Linked DNA regions of Drosophila melanogaster. Changing the gene in region 2 together with the main gene of any one other region gives a genetic interaction. Each region holds a gene or a part of one and is shown on either strand. Other genes may lie near its edges.

Region 1 (5,995 bases), on a different chromosome or scaffold from region 2:
ATTCTCAACAAGCTCTCGCCGGCCAGCTGCCCACTCAAAAGTTGACTTTTCGCTGCCGTCCGGGCAAACAAAAAGCGAATCACAAACAGCACAGAAATACGATGAGAAATGGCATGATAGACAGGGGAGGGGGGAGGAAGAAAGAGGAAACAGCCCAGTTGCACTTTTAGTCGTGTGATTAATATGCCGAGCTAGAAAAAATGCCGAATGGGCGCATTTTAGATAAGCATTTGGTTGGATGATGACTCATCGTCTTCGAGCACCAGGCAATCGTTACTCCACACACCGAGCCACTTTGTTTATCTTTCTATATGTGCGATGCGAAATTTTTTGGGATAAACAATCTGCAGATTCAGATGGAGAATAATCCCCGTAAGCAGTATGCACACACAATATCTGGCCTATTGCCACAGCGAAAATTCTGGAAAACGTGTTATCTGCAAAGTGGGCGTATAAATAAGATATAGCCGCAGATAGAAAAGATTCCCATTTTCATGCGAATTGAAAAGCTCCAAGGAATCCAAGTGCGGCAAGTGGAAAGTTTTATGGCAGCAGCCCGGCACTGATAAGACTGGTTGGAACTACGTATCATAAAAGGTAAGTTGGGACAGTGATACCTCGTTGCGCGGAATCAAACTTTTTGTATGGAGCATACGTTCTGCACAATAAAATAAAATGGGAATTCAAAATTCATTTGAAATATCAATAAAAATAGTTAATAATAAAATACAAAATATTGTGGGCGTAGAATTTGTATGTCCAATAGCAAAACCTTTTAGCTTTTAAAGTTCTAGCGATCTCGACGTTCATACATATGTTAGCAATAATACAATTTATTTAAATAAACCATAAAAGTGTTGGCATATAACTTTATAAAAATTCGCGTTCTTTGAGTTGGACACACCAATTTGAATATTAGTCATGCACTCTGTGGGGGGAAAATTTGTATGGGCATGACATCAAAGTTGGGATTGTTATGCCCGTAGAGCTTTGGTTGGGGTCACTACAATTTCCTCGGCCCTTAGTATGGCGTCCAAGCATTTCTGACCACTTCGAAAACCGACGATTGCAAACACCCAAGCGCGGGTGTGCTGCCTTTGTTGTTCCTGGCTGTTCTTTTCGCTTTTTGCTTTTTGCTTTCTGCTGCTTCGACATTTGTGCCAGCCAGCCGCGTTCATTTTATATTTTTCTTGTTCAATTTTTTATAAACAACGCACACACTTACGATTGCCCTGTGAGAAACGAGAGTCGTTTGTGGTATTTGTTTTTGTACTCATAAAAGTTTAATAAGCATGCCTCAGTGTTCTTTTCCTCGTGGTTGTGTGGGTGTACGCCGTACATCGACAATGGAAACCTCGCCGTTGCACCACCCCCAACCGAGCCCAAAGTGAGCCCCCCCACCACCACCACTTTGCCACACCAAGTATTATTTAAGTAATCATTTATCGTTGCTGCTCGCCTGACATTTTGCACGATGTTTGTCGGCTTTTGTTTCGTCTAACGAGAAACACCGGATCGATTGGGTTATATTGAGCTAAGTAATGTGTCGGCACACGGTTTCTTATCACCACATAATGCTCGTTCCGCGAACAGATCAATGTTTGTTGTCACACTTGCCCCGATGACCTCACTTATCTGTTCATAAATCCCACCGATCTTAAGCTCATAAAATATGTGCTCAAGTCTATTTGTCAAAAAATAAAGTAATTAAGGAATATTTGTCCAAACTGTCATCTGCAATACAAATACAATCATGGTTGGGTATCACTCAGTTATCAGTCTTGTGTTGGTGCTCAATGGTTCGAAAAGTGATTATTCGACTGAAGTCAGTCAGGTTATCAAACAATACAGCTACCAAACATTGTCTTTTATTGCTTAACTGTAAAGTCTTAGCAAAATTCCAATAAATGGGACTCCTTATCAGCGGAGTGCAACAAAAGATTCGCAGAAATGTATTAATCCTCTATTGAATCCATTTTTTACTGCTCTATATTACTTATTTGTTTTTCAAAAACTAATTAGCATTAGGGTCAATATTTCCATAACCAATGATTTGGGTTTTTCAAGTAATAAATAAATATGATCTTTAATTTTTTAATAATAAGTACAGCTTTGATTACGAGCTAGACAGATTTTCGGGTTTCAAACTTGATAATTGGGCATATTGACAAAAATATTTGTAAAATACGTTGTAGTAAGTTCCTCAAAGTAACTTCCTCAGAAACTATAGATTGAAGTTTTGATTCGCTAGTTCGGGGGCCATCTACTACCACCAGAAAAGCATTTTGCCAGCGATAAGCAGGCACAATATGTGTAAGTACAGTAGGCCCCCAATCTATTGAAGGCGCAGCAGAGTGCTCCATTTACGACAATGAAATGCAACGCAATAAACGACTTTGATAACGAGGTGTCAATGTAACAAAGTAAATAACGAGAGTCGCCGATAAGAAGCCGGCTTGATTTGCGCTTGAGGATAGTGATTCGCATAATAGCGCAATAATTAGCACTGCCTATATCGAAGATCCAGAAATAACTTTAAACACATGTGGTGGACTGGATTGGTGGCGATAAACTTTGCTGCATAAATACATATGTTCAAATCTGACGGGAGTGAGTTCCAACACGATATAGAAGAACTAATTGGGGAAACGAACTTTGAGCACCCTATAGTTTTAAGTATCGTGGCATTTAGAGTATATCTGTTCATTCGAATCTATATACAATATATTTTCAATATATAAAAGCCACATTACTACTTTATTTCAATTCAGGGTGAACTTTAAATGTAAAATATAGTTTCTCAGACCGTAAATACAATTCTGAATAAAGTACAATATTATATTGTATCTCCCTTTCATCTATAAAATTAATGATTTTAACCACTGTTAATAAATAATGGTAGTTATATAATGTATGCGTTTTATTAGTTGACATAAACGAAGAAACCCCTCTGCCAACTAACCTATGTAAGTTGACCGTCCACCTGGCCATTGATTGGAGGACCCACTATGACCAATGATAATCTACGGTGTCCACAGCAATGCGATCGGGTTTATCAAATGTGAAACGCCAAGGGGTTAGCTAACGTCGGCGTCGCTGACAATCGTAATTTGTCCGAAGTGGTAGAAGCCAGCCGGGTTATAGCCAGGCCAAGAAGTCATGGTGGAGAGAGGGGAAGCCCGCGACGGAGGAGGGGGCAGTAAGCGACCGACGACAGCGAGCAAGATAAAAGTGTTGAGCGCGCAGAAGTCGGCGACGTATGAAAGCAAGAGTAGCATGTGAATATGAGAATGATAGGGCCCCGTACGTCAGACACTTGAAAAAATAGTGCTAGAGTAACAGTTAAATATGTGTTGCCAAATGTTGTGATACCAGGTGTTGAATCGGGCCCCAACACATGGGATTAATTTACCAATGCCTTATACAAAAAATTGTATTATGTATTTATACAAAAAAGCTTAATTTTTTAAACAGAGGACATTAAATATATATAATTTTTAGTTTTATAGCCTCGCTTTCTCGCTGTGCAAGGGAGCGAGTGGGACGGTGAGATGGGGAACAGCTAATATACTCGATATCAGTGTTGTTGTTGCTGCCATTTGTGCTATTGCACTCGAAATTCTTGTTGCCTTTGTTTTTATGGGCTTTCCAGGAAACAACAATGAACGGGGAAGAAGAAGACCGGGAAACAGGAGCGTGAAGAACACATGTGCATGTGTGTGGGTATTTTGTTGATGTATAAATAAAGCGTCAAGTGGAAACACATGATGATGGTGCATCGAATTTGTGGCCAAAAGGCAGAGAACCTTCGTGAAGGCCTTGCGGAACCACCACACGCCCACCCACATTATTTGCGCAGTGCACATTTGCAGCGGAGTCCTCCCACCCACACACGCATTTATATACGTACCCCCCACCACTCGTAAATTTGTTGCTCTTTTTCTCCTATTTCTATTTACCTTTGGTACACAAACACCAACGCACAACACTGTGTAAACACACACGGCTGGCTGGTATCGGTTAGTTTGTATTGGTACGCCTGCCGCTGTTGCTCTTCGATATTTTTTATTATGTATTTGCCGTTTTATTTTTAAATCGCGCTGGCTTCACGCACACACAAACATTACACACACGACGCAGTGCGAGGGAGACGGAACGCACATGCACACCCGCACACGCACTGAGAATTTAGAAAAAAAAACTAGAGTCTCGACCAAAGGAAATCCTATCAGTTAAACGAATCCTTGAAAACAAAGTGCACTTGCAAAAGAATTCAACTGGTTGCGCATTTGAAAATTGCTCCGCATTCGAACAATTCCCTATAGTGGCTAAAAAACGACTGCCGCGTCTCTAGAGTTGGAGCGAAAGCGATCCACATGCGATACTATCGGACGATGAACACATGTGAACAATCGCTGTTAACAGTGGGTATCGATTCTGATAAATCTCTGCCAAACCGGGAAGATAGGAAATTCTAATTAGAAAATAAGTTGATTTAATTTTATAGAGCAGCGCAGTAAAATATTGTTAACAACCAGGGACCAAAGCTCGATAACTATGGTAAAACAAAATTTTTGAATTGTTATTACTTATAAATTTTTGACTTGGAATGCACATAATTAAACAAATAGCATTTAGGATTTTTCGTAAAGATGTTCTAAAAGAAACATTAAGACTAAACAAGTTACGAAATATATATCTCTATCGTGCTAATATTCCACTAAACTTTGTGAGTTAATTAAAGAAAAATAAGTTGATTGAAGTTATTATTTAGAAGTAAAATGAATTTGATGGTGGAAAACTCTGATAACCCGAAGTGCAACCCTCGCACCCCTGTTAAGTTAACAGCACTGTCGGCTGCTAAAGAATAAACAATTTGCGAAGCTAATTGCGATAAACAAACATTTATCAAAGGGGGTTTACACCCATTTTCGCATCATTGTGGCGCCGCAGATATGAGTGCGCATGTTGTCTGTACACACACGAGCTGCCACCCACACATATGCACCGCTGGCGGTGTAATTAATTGCATTTGATTGATTTGTCCACCGAAAGTCAAGGTTACCCCAGACGCAGAGAAGCACAATTAATGGTCTTTTGCCAACTCTTGTGTATTCTGCATATAAACATACGCGACTTCTGAATTTTCACCTGTTGTGCGCAGCAACAAGCGAGCATGAGAATGCCACCCCCGACCCTCTTTAAATGAAGAGGGTTGGTGCTCGGAGAGGGGTTTTTTTAAGGCTGTGCCCCGTCTAATCAATAGGCCTTAAATAATTAATCCATTCCACAATCGGCGCAGCACAGCAAATCACTCACCTTTCAGATTGCCTTTTTGGTTATGGCAGGTGTTGGGGGAAAAACGCTTTTTATCCTTAAAACAACACCGCCTGCAGCTCACGGCTGTTGGGCCACCTAATTCCAGGGCAAATAGTCTTAATTATCACTTTTAAAACGCACTAAATTTACGTTGTTTTCGTTTTGCGAGCACTCGAATTTTTGCGAACGCGACTACCAGCATATTTCGATATACAGCACCCCCGCAAAAGATGTTATCGCGTAATCGCCGGAGGTGCCACCTGTCACAACCGATGGCGCGCGTTTTAAAAACGATTGAGATAATCGATCAGTTAAACAATTTTGTAAATTTTAATAATAAAAACACACTAACATACAAGAATTACATAGTATATGCTGGTGTGAACACCCTCAAATTCATGACTATTTTAACAGTCGCAGCGCCTTGACATTGAGTTGGCAATACACAATATACAAAATGTTCGGGTAAATCGTAATCATTAATCTAGGAGTGTTATTGTCAAAGCAACACCATTGAATACGAGGTCCTGGGGAGCAGTATGTGCCAGGCGAGTCATTATTCAGACAGTTTATTGGCTGATATACTTTCGGCTTACGGCGATAATAAATCAATTACGGTTAATAACAAAGTTAAGCGCTTTCGGGTGTCTTCACTTCATCGCTTCTCTCCCTCACA
Region 2 (10,510 bases):
TGCTCGTTTAAGGGGGGACAGGGTCTTTAATTTTAAACACAACAATTCAAAGTTAGTGGTAGTGGTAGGCGGGAGGCAAAGTAAAATTAAGAGTCGTTTAGGACACTTCGTACAATTCTCCGATTCGGTTCTTTTTGGCACATTGCTGCACTTTATATTTTGCCATGTACTACAACAAGTGGTGGTTTCTCATAATCTTCATAAATAAATATACATAGGTCGTATGCTATAAGAAATTGCTGTACAACAACAAGTGAAGCGTGTAGTGGGTGGTTGTCGGGTGCTTGAAACATTGGTAGTTATGATATTCTTAATATTTTAAGCATAGCGAGCAAGTAGGGTGAGCTTTGCATTTGGTATGGCTCGTTTGGGGCATCTGGTCGGTTATCAATCCATTTTTAGAGTGTAGAAAATAAATTTGATCTAAAATGTCAGTCTATTGCGCAAAATCTACATTTGACGTGATTTCTACCCGATTTTCGTTAGTTTAGTTTAGTTGCTTCTTTTCTTTCATTTGTTTCTTTTGTTTTCCTTCTTGTATTTCGTATATAAAAAATTCCCTAATATTTATGCATCTTGTATCGTTCGTTCAGCTCAATCAATCCGCCATCCGCAATTCGTGTGCGATTGCATGGCGTTGCGATGCGATTCCGTCCGATCTCTGATCCTTTCCGATCCGTTGCACGTCGTCCTTGATTCGTTGCCCGCATTAGATGCCGGGTCAGGCGGACGAGCAGGTGGGGATCGGAAGTCGGAAATCGGGTATCAGGGGAGGAATCGGTCTCCTACGGCAACTAAATACGTCATACAGCTATTGCTACTACTGATCTACGACTACTTAGTGGCTACGGGGCACTTAACCTAGCTTCGTGTATGCGTAGGCGCAGATCACGCCCACCACAACACCAGCGGCAATATATGTGAGTAATGACCTTCGTTTCTTTGCCGCCAGCTGTTTGTCCTCGTTCTCCCGCTGCTTCCGCTTCATGTCGTTGACCTTCTGCTCCAGGCTGGCCTGGTATTCGTTGCGTTTTCGCCGCTTCAGCTCGTTCTCGGGACTGAAAAGTACGAATTTGGAAGGGGATTAGAGGGATTTTTGTTTGACTAGGCGGTTGAAAAATAGATACTGAGCAGATCTAAGACTAGATTCTTACCTGGCTGGGAGCTGGCCTGGAATTGGATCGATGCCGTTCGCCTTGTGCTGCTCGTCGACTGGCACCGCTGGCTTCTCGTTGTTGGCATTAACATCGTCGGCATGTGGCTGTGTTGTCGCGGGCACGTGTCCATTAACTGGATCGGCATCGTGCTCGTTAATGGTCTCGTACTCCTCATCCTCATCGGTGTCGTCCTCGTCATCGTCATCCAGCAAGTAATCCTCATCGCTGTCCGAATCGTTGAAAGCCCTTACGGGTAATGGCGGCAAGGGACGACTGTCGGCCACCTCGGCATCGTGGATCATGTCGTGCTGATTAATGAAGTTGTTCAGGGCGTCCTTGCTCAGCTCTTTGCCGATACTTTCAGCTCCATTAGCCTGGGCCGCGCGCATATTGAGCGAAAGTATACCGCCGGAATTGGGGGCCAGTGGCAGATTAAGCGATTGGACGCGTGGGGGCAATGGCGGCGGCAGCTCATCCAGTGTGTGAGTCTCTGTGTCGTTGCTAATGAGGGGTTCTTCAGCGTCAAGAAAGGTCTGAAGAGAAATCAAATGTTCTAATTAGTCGCGGAAAATAATCAGGGCCTTCACAGAAATCTCTGCAAACCAAAAACAATGGTTTCTTTTTCGCATCAATTAAACAATAATCATTAAGCTGATACTAGATCACATAATAAAAAACAAAACTAAACATAATACAGTTTTCAAAAGTAATCATAATTCCATTAAACAATATGAATTCTAGTAACCATAACCAAGCCCAGAGATTTCTGTGACCCCCCAGAATAAATAGCGATGTGCAATATATACGGCGGTGCTTGGCAGCCCCCAAGTTTGACTCCCAAACGCCGACCGCTGGTCGCGCATACATACGGGATCGTGCAGCTTTTTAATGCCCTCGATGATCGCCTGGTAGGAGAAGTCCAGCTGGTCGGCGGTCTGTATGAGGCCCATGCGGTAGCTGCGCAGCTCGCAGAGCACCTTGGACACATTGCACTCTCCGTACTTGTCGATAAGTACCAGGCAACAGTCCACCAGGCAGAAGGTGCCCGACCGCCCGATTCCGGCACTGCAGTGCACTACGGCTGGACCCACGTCGCGGCTGAGGCAGCCGGAGTCGCGAACCTGCTGCAAGAACTTAAGGAATGCGTTCGGCGAGCTGGGAATGCCAAAGTCCGGCCATGTGGTGTAGTGGAACTGCATCACTTCACGACTCTGCTGCGTTTCGAGATCGGTTAATCTAGAGAAATAGTCAAAGGCAATTAGTCCACATGTACAAATGGTTTGAAGCAGAAGAAGAATAAAGAGTTCTACTCACTTGAACCATCGCCGCACAAAGTTCTGGTAGGTCTCGAGACGGACGAGCTCCACGGTGAGTTTGACGTGGGGCAGTTTCAGGGCCTTGTCGGCTCCCATCTCGTTGGGCCAGTAGAGGTGGCACTTGATCTGTTTCTTCTCCATCAGCTTGTTGAGCATGAGAACTGCTCTGGACTTCTGCTCCCATACCATCAGCCAGAAGTGGCCCACTGTGTCCACCAGCGGTCCTTGGGTCAGGATGTACTGGCGCTCGGCGCGCTCCAGCTAGAAAGGATTGATTGATCGCATTAGGCGTTTAATTAGGGGTGTGTGTATGCATTAAAAACGTGACCCACCTGAACCAGGTTCGCATTGATGTAGTCTACGCTGCCGCGCTTCAAAACAATGCGGGAATGATCGTACGGATTCACATCCCGATAGCGATTCAGGCCGCGGTTCGTGTGGCGTTCCGATTCCGAGGTGCTGAACTGCTTCTCCTTCGCCTCCCGGTCGCAGGTCTCACAAATTTCCTGGAATTCCGAAAAGAGCGATTAGTACAATCGAAACTACCCATAACAACAAAGGTTGAGGTGGTATTAAAATTCGGTCGCTTTACTGACAACTTATCAGTCAATTTGCAGGCGGTAATTCAGGGGATTTTGTGAGATTTGCGCTATTTACCTAAGCGTTCCAGACCCCAGAAGACAACTACTATAGTGTCTTACTGGAAGATCTCTTCTTTCTGGTACAAAATTCGTAAAAAATATAGTTTTCGTGTTACTCAATTATCTAAGACAGTAATAAGACCAAAAGTTCAAACTAATTAAACATTTATGCATGAAATGACCCAACGAATTCTTCGATACAAGAGCAAACAGCAAATAGCAGTGCACAATAGTATTGAATGGCATTGTTAAAACGAATATCAGAGCTTCCTTTTAGAACCATACAAACTGAGAAACTGTAAGGCGCAATTAAGCTTTTTACGATTTGTGTTCCGAGAAAATGAAAACGTTCAGACTCATAATGGTCTGATAATAACTAGTTTTAAAGTGATACATTTGTTTGACTGACTCGCAAACAAATTGTCAAGAAACGAATTGATAAGATCCTGTTAGAAGAATGCTAGAATGTTACAGAAATCGAATTTGTTTTTTTCCATGGGGGTTGCCCCCTTTGCAGTGATTCATCACTTGGCCCAGCGACAAGGGGCTCCTCCGGATTGGCAAACCCTGCGATTGAAGCGATAGTAGATACATGTAAGGGGCATCGGACTGGGAGGGAACCATGCGGCATATGAAAAGCCCACCCAGTCTACATAGCGGGCGTGACTAATTAGCCATGCGATGTTGGTGATGGCGATGGCAAAGCAAGCTGTCGGTAATGGCATTATCTTGGGCATGACCGGTGCGGCATTATCAGCAGTGTGAACGGGGAATTGCTGGCGCAGCTGAAAGTGGCCCCGCCAATTGAACCATCGAATCCGACTACCGAACCGTTAACAAGGTCAATGGCAACCACCTGGCGACGACAAGTGCTCCTTAAACTCGGCTCAAAGCTAATCACATGCATGCGGTGATGAGTAACCATTTAATATGGTTACCCATCAGCTCGCGTTGATTGCAGCTCGAAAATCAGTTGTTAATTGTCAGTTCGTCATGTTTCAACAATGAATCAGCTGCAAATTCTGCAGCTGACCTGTTATGAAATAACTTTAAAGAGTCATATTTTTACGTAATCTCCAAATCTGAGACGGGCTAATGACCGATAAGGAAGCTTTTCAAAGAGCAAAATCTCAATGGCTATCGCTACATTTGATAATTCGTAATTAGAAACGGAAAGAAATCCATGGTTGCACTTAATATTTCTCGAAACTCCTCAACTCAATAGCATTTCTACAATCACCTATTTAAGGTCTGATAATCGACGAGTCACGTGAGAATACGCGCAGATAATTGAGCTGCTTTATTTAAATGTTTGCCAATGATAAAGACTTTCAGTGTACTTATGATGTATAAAGTTGTATTCCTTGTACTATATCAAACTAGATATGATATATAAAATCAACAATCCATCCGGAACTTATGTAAATCCATAGCTTGGATTGGATTCATTCTGATGGAGAAAACAGTTCTTCGGCTCCGTTGAACATTAAGTCTTGGGCCGTTTACCAGCTACATACTGTTTTTTATGCTCGGTGGCTATCCAGGTGACCCTTCTAAACGGAGTGGCGAAATCCAAGCGAAGGCGCGGAAATCTCGGGGGCTTTGGTTTCCAAAGCGTGTCGTGCAAACCGTTTTATGGTTATTATGTTTCTGCTTTACCTTGCAACGCTCGAAGGAAATCGAGAAACAGTAACAAAAACATTGCATGCACGCAGAGCACAATTGCAACGATGGATAAAGACTTCTTGGCCAATACGAATTTGACATACCCTTTCACACACACTATGCGAGTTAACAAGTTTCATATTTCATAAAATCTGGCTTGACTGTTTCCAGAGAAACGAAAAAGAAGACGGTCACCTGTTGATACCAACGACTGGTAAGGACTATAACACCCTCTGGCAGGGTATAGCTGTGGAGGAGCTTCGTCACAGTCCACGGAGGTTGTCATAATGGGACGGAGTGGGTTGGGTGGGATGTTGATGGAACGGATGGATCGAGAAGGCGCTAGGTATGAGCTGATAGGCGGGGAGGGGCGGCGAGTTGAGAAGACCCAGTGTAACGCACTTCGTTCAATGGAAATGATTAAACATAAAGCAAAGCATAGCAAAACAATACGGTCCGAATGCGTCACTGCGTTTTTGGCTACAGTCCAAATCCCCTATGATGGGCTATCATATGGCAAATGTCAAATAAATTGGAAGTTTTAATGATAACCACAAAATTAGTTGTACCGTTTATGTTCACACATATTTGCGATTTATTAATTCTTAGAAGAATGTGTTTTGGAATTTCTATAATAAAGACAGATAAGTGCCTATAATGGATTATAATTTTCTTCAGAAATGTAGTAGCATGCACAGCTAAATGTTATTAAAGTAAAAATTGGGGTAGGTCGGTCTTATTCATAAAGTAATCATCGAAAAATGTGATGTTTTCACATTGATCATAGTTGTTTTTCATTGCAACAAAAATGAGTCAACGTTTACATGCTATGGAACATATAAAATTCAGCGAATTTAGATGAATTTCACGAAAGTAATATTATCAAGCTGAAAACTATTTATGATTTAATGAGAAAATATGATTAAAGAAAGTTTATTGAAATCTCACTTTGGCCTAACAAGATCGTCTTAGTCAAGTTGCACTGTATTTCAGTGGAAATGGCTGGTAGCTATTTTCCAGTCAGTTTCGACGCACAATTGCGGGCTGCCTTCCAGTTAGCTGGAAAATTAGATTATCCTCGACGCGAGCACAAAGGATGACGAACGAGGATGCCGAGGAGCGGGTCCAGAAACGAGATATTTCTACACACGACCATATACTGTGTCATCCTAACTGCGGAGTGGAATTCCGTGAAATCCCAATTCAAGTGAGTGGAAGCGCTGAAAGAGGCACAGAGGAACAGAGGAGGAGGAGTAGCAGCTGAAGACAGTTCGCCGGAACTGGCTATAAAGAACGAGTGGAGGTGGAGGAGGAGAGAAGAAGGGGCAAGGAGAGGATTCCGACTCCAATTCCGACAGGCAACCAGAAGCAGCCCAAAGCGAGACTCAAAAAACCAGACGCATGCCCTTTGTGCCCCTGTGTGCGTGAGCCTCTCTCTCCTGCTCAACGCGAGCGGGTGTGTGTGTGTGTGCGCGCGTTAGAGGAGTTCTTCAGTGGAGAGCACTGTCACCCCTCCACGAATTGTATTTTGTTTTTGGGGGACGGCAATCACAAACACAACGAGCTTCCCAGAAATCGCCTCCAATTTGATTTGGCCAAACGAGAATTCGCGGAATAGCTCAAGCGCTCTATTGATAGTCAAAGGAAAGCGTTTTTGGGGAAAGGTATGGCAGAATAACAAGCATAAATATGCCAAATACAGGCCAATACACACGCACGAACTCACACACACACGCGTTCGATGGAGAATGCAAAGTAAAGTGCAGCAGGTGTGCGTGTATGTGTGTTGGTGCTATTCTGTTTGTACATTCTTTTCCATGGGTTTTTGTTTTTGGCCAAAGCCTGGCTGTTAAAGCAACAACTGCAACAACAACAGCACTGACACACAATACACACGCACACACGTAAAGCTCGCCGCTGCACTGGTGTTGGTGGTGGAGGCATCTGCAGAAGCCTTTTGCGCACTCATCACATTTTCGTGGAAATCGGAGCGCCAAGGAGCTGTGGAAAGGTGTATACTCCGCATCCGTTGCGAATCCTTGGCGAATCGAACTGTGCCACAATCATTCGTCCAGTTTGTAACCAGTTTTCAGTGCAGTCGCAGTTGTTGTTGCCAATTACCTTGTAGAAGCGATGCCATTGCGGCCCCTTGTCCTTGTACTCCGCCTCGATTTGCAGACGGGCAGCGGCCGCCGACCCACTCCCACTCGTTTTCTGCTCGCTCATTGTGCACACTTTGCTGCGATTTGTTCCGATTTAATAACTTTTAATTTGGTTATCAGGCGGCTGGTTAATTTCAGAGGAGAACTAGAGCTGGACAACTCACGACAGTGTCGATGTATCGAATATTTGAGCTTGCGAAATACTATCGGTATTTGCAGTGCGATACCGAGTGATAGTTCGATTGTACATCACTATATTGATCGCATTACATATTATATTCTCTTATGGTGATTCCTATTTACAAATGCAAGCCAAACACAATATATTGTATCTGCGACATTATTATTCTGAAATATTAGTTACGTCTATCGATATTTTCACCATCAAATAATGTGACCAGGCGCTGTAGAGCAATAGAACACATACTGAAACTAAAGTGCTTGCGCAGAAATTAGAACTTTACTGAAACATAATATAACATTCGGGATAAGTTTTCTATAATTTATATAAAATTAAATACTTAACTAAAGACATAACAATATAAAAACAATTGAAATAAAATATTTTAAATAAAAATAAAATAAAAAAAATAAAATAAAATATTTTAAAAGTAAAATAGAAAAATTCTGATAAGAAAATTGGGTTCAAATACTTTAAAATACCGATATTACAATCGCTCATCGTTGACCAGTGTTATCGAGTAATACCAAAAGTATCGAATCAACAACTGTTACCCAATTTATTAATAACAACAGAAAGAAGCCAAAGCAAAATGCTGACCCGCGTGTTCCGCCTAGTGCACGACAGGCGCCTGAGTGTGCCTGTCCTGCGTTGCTTCCACCACGAGTTCTCCAAGCCGCCACAACAGGCAGCGAAGGGCCAGGAAATCGAAGGCAATCCCGAAAAGACTTTGGTTGCCGGCGTGCAAGACAAGTACAAAATATTCCGCGATGAGGAAGCCACGGAGATTTTTGATGTGGAAGAGGCACGCCACCAGGAGCAGCAACTTCCAGAGCCGGACCTGGAGCTGGATCACTATTACGGCCTCAATTTAAAGCGTAGGTTGGCAATCGTCCAGGGAGAGCAGAAATTTAAGCCTTTGTTTCCCTTTGCAGGAGGTGTTCGCGGAGTGTTCGACGTTGAGGACTTGGTGGAGCTGCTCCGCAAGGAGAATGTGGACGACATATTCGTCTGCTACGTGCCGGAGAACCTGAAGTACGTTGACCACCTGGTGGTTTGCAGTGGTCGCAGTTACCGACACATGCTGTCCACCGCGGAGTTCGTGCGCCGAATGTTCAAGATCAAGCGGGGCAAGGGTGACATATTGCCGCGCATCGAGGGCGATAAGAGCCGGGATTGGATGGCCATGGACTTGGGTGGGTATTGAAATAAATGCATATTCCGGTTTCTCCGCTCTAACACGTTCCGTTTCCTTTTAGGCAACATTGCCCTGCACATATTTTCACCGAGTGCTCGCGAGGAATACGATCTGGAGTCGCTGTGGGCCATTGGCTCCGAATTCGACCGCGAAAGCCAAAAACCCACCAATCCCTATGGCGATATTTTCATGGCTCAAACACCCCTTTCTTTCGTAGACAAATCGAAACTAAAGACGTAAAATAATACATTTCACTATTAATAAAAAAAAACTCTTTAGAGCTGCGTACGTGCGAGATCACTTGCAGTGTGATTTGGAAAAACAATAAGGTATGAATAAATATTTCGTGTCAGACTTGTTATTCTCGTGTCACGGCCAAAATAACTATGCGATCGCCCATCTCTAGTTTCTTACTGGGTGCATTCGCTCAGGCAGCCATCTTTAAAATAACTGTAATTTTTATTAACATCGAGCTCTAATAGGGCAATAATAGCCATAATCCGTCAGAATATGACAGCAGTATTTCCAAACAGGAGCTAAATTCTTTTGTAGATGGCCAAGCGACGCTAGCGCCACCTATTTCTGAAAATCTGATAATAACAAGTGCGCACTAAAGTATACTGCAAAAAATGAAAATAACTCTTCTTTTCAGAGAATAAAGGCAGATTCCCTTATATCTATGAAATGTCACAATCAAATTGTTATATATTTGATATGTGATGTATTTTAATTTGTCTTTATCGAATATTGTCGGTATATCTGGTTGTAGCAACGCGTCGGAACATTTTCTCCATTCAACTGGAAGATGCAACAATAGACAGTTAATCCTGTAATTTAGGGTTTTAATAACTTTAAGAAGCCGTACAGTTTGATAGATAACAAATTGTAATAAAAACGCAAAATAATATATTATGAACCAGAAAGCATTCCAATGATTTTATACTTCACAATCGAATTTCCCATTCATTCAGAGAAAGCCATTAAACTCAAATCTCAATGGCTCGAATATATCCTGCGGCGTTTTTTAACGACTGTTTGCTCAAAATATAAATACGCCCACTCAACGATGTTCATTGTGTTTTTATAGTCATCGGGCGAGGTGTGAACAAGGCTGTTTTCAGCACATTGATTTGTGGATTTGCACCGGCCAGCGGAATGCTGAATGAAATTGGAAAATCAGGGAACTAGGGTCCAAGAAGGAGATCCTCCTGGCATTTGGAAATCATTTCTTCGCAGGCCATCAGCGCCAGTTGCGTCACGAGGAGAATTCGAACTTAATATTTTTAAAATACGTTTTCGAAAATAAGTTATCGATGGTGTTTATGAAAACAAACAATGGCCAGTCCGGCGAACGGTGCGATAATCCAATGAGCCAAAGAGCCAGACGGACGCCAATTGGCCGACACATGATAGGCGTTAAATTTTATGAAATTGCTGAAAATCTTGAAATGCCAATTAACGGCTTTAATACAATTTGTCGACGTCAATCAGCAATGATGGAGCAGCGAGTGGAGTGAGGAGGATTGGGCTACGGCCGCTCGTTTCACTTTTCCACTTGGCCATGTGATGTGATATGGGAGGAACTTTCCGCTGGGGGATTTGGCGCGTCCATAATCAGCCCATAATCGCCGTATCGATGGGTTGAAAAACAAATTCCCTGGCCCGATGGGTCAGAGGTGAGCGAGAAGAAGTGCTGATGTTACATCTCATCACCTGGCAGATGCGGGGCATGGAAGGGGGCATATATGGAATCGATTAAATATGCTTTAATGGCCTGACAAGGGGTCAGCAGTTGTTGAGATCTGCCGTCATCAGTTTGGCTGCATAAAATGTAAATCTGATCACCAATCAAAGCTAGTAAGTGTGGATTAAATGCTTGATTGGCACGTATTAATGATACAATGTTAGTTACTAACTAATGCTGGCCATCTAGTAACTATAAGATAATGGAAATAATGAGCTAAGATAAGATTTGAGGCCTATTTCTCATCCTCAAGAACGACGCACAACATTAAACCTTTTTGATTATGTTCTCAGTTGTTTGATCTGAAAAACTCTTTCTTTGAAAAATCATAGTGTTTATCCGTCAGAATATTAGATTATTCTAACAATCAGACCAAGACGGGAACCACCGGAATATAACTCTGCGCCAAGTGGACTCATTATTTGCCGTATGTGGGGGCGTTGGGC

The links. Genes that interact genetically often act in the same process or in processes that back each other up.
Region 1: of Ptp61F (region 2) and Stat92E, changing one suppresses a phenotype caused by changing the other (phenotypic suppression), as found in Drosophila melanogaster (one study listed by BioGRID).

The regions. Positions count from the first base shown.
Region 1 is NT_033777.3:20,546,762-20,552,756, forward strand, and holds the start of Stat92E (Signal-transducer and activator of transcription protein at 92E), read right to left. Parts: upstream 4,347-5,995; 5' UTR 3,960-4,346; intron 1-3,959. UniProt on the Drosophila melanogaster protein: Might play a role in signal transduction and activation of transcription.
Region 2 is NT_037436.4:1,343,472-1,353,981, forward strand, and holds Ptp61F (protein tyrosine phosphatase 61F), read right to left. Parts: upstream 7,129-10,510; 5' UTR 7,006-7,128; coding exon 6,901-7,005; intron 6,072-6,900; exon of another isoform or gene 5,728-6,071; intron 2,980-5,727; coding exon 2,806-2,979; intron 2,735-2,805; coding exon 2,472-2,734; intron 2,394-2,471; coding exon 2,027-2,393; intron 1,691-2,026; coding exon 1,155-1,690; intron 1,059-1,154; coding exon 857-1,058; 3' UTR 512-856; downstream 1-511. Other genes in the region: CG9166 (uncharacterized protein), read left to right, coding at 7,715-8,000, 8,058-8,318, 8,382-8,560. UniProt on the Drosophila melanogaster protein: Non-receptor protein tyrosine phosphatase. Required for maintaining dock/dreadlocks in its non-phosphorylated state. Negative regulator of InR/insulin-like receptor signaling through dephosphorylation of tyrosines when recruited by dock/dreadlocks.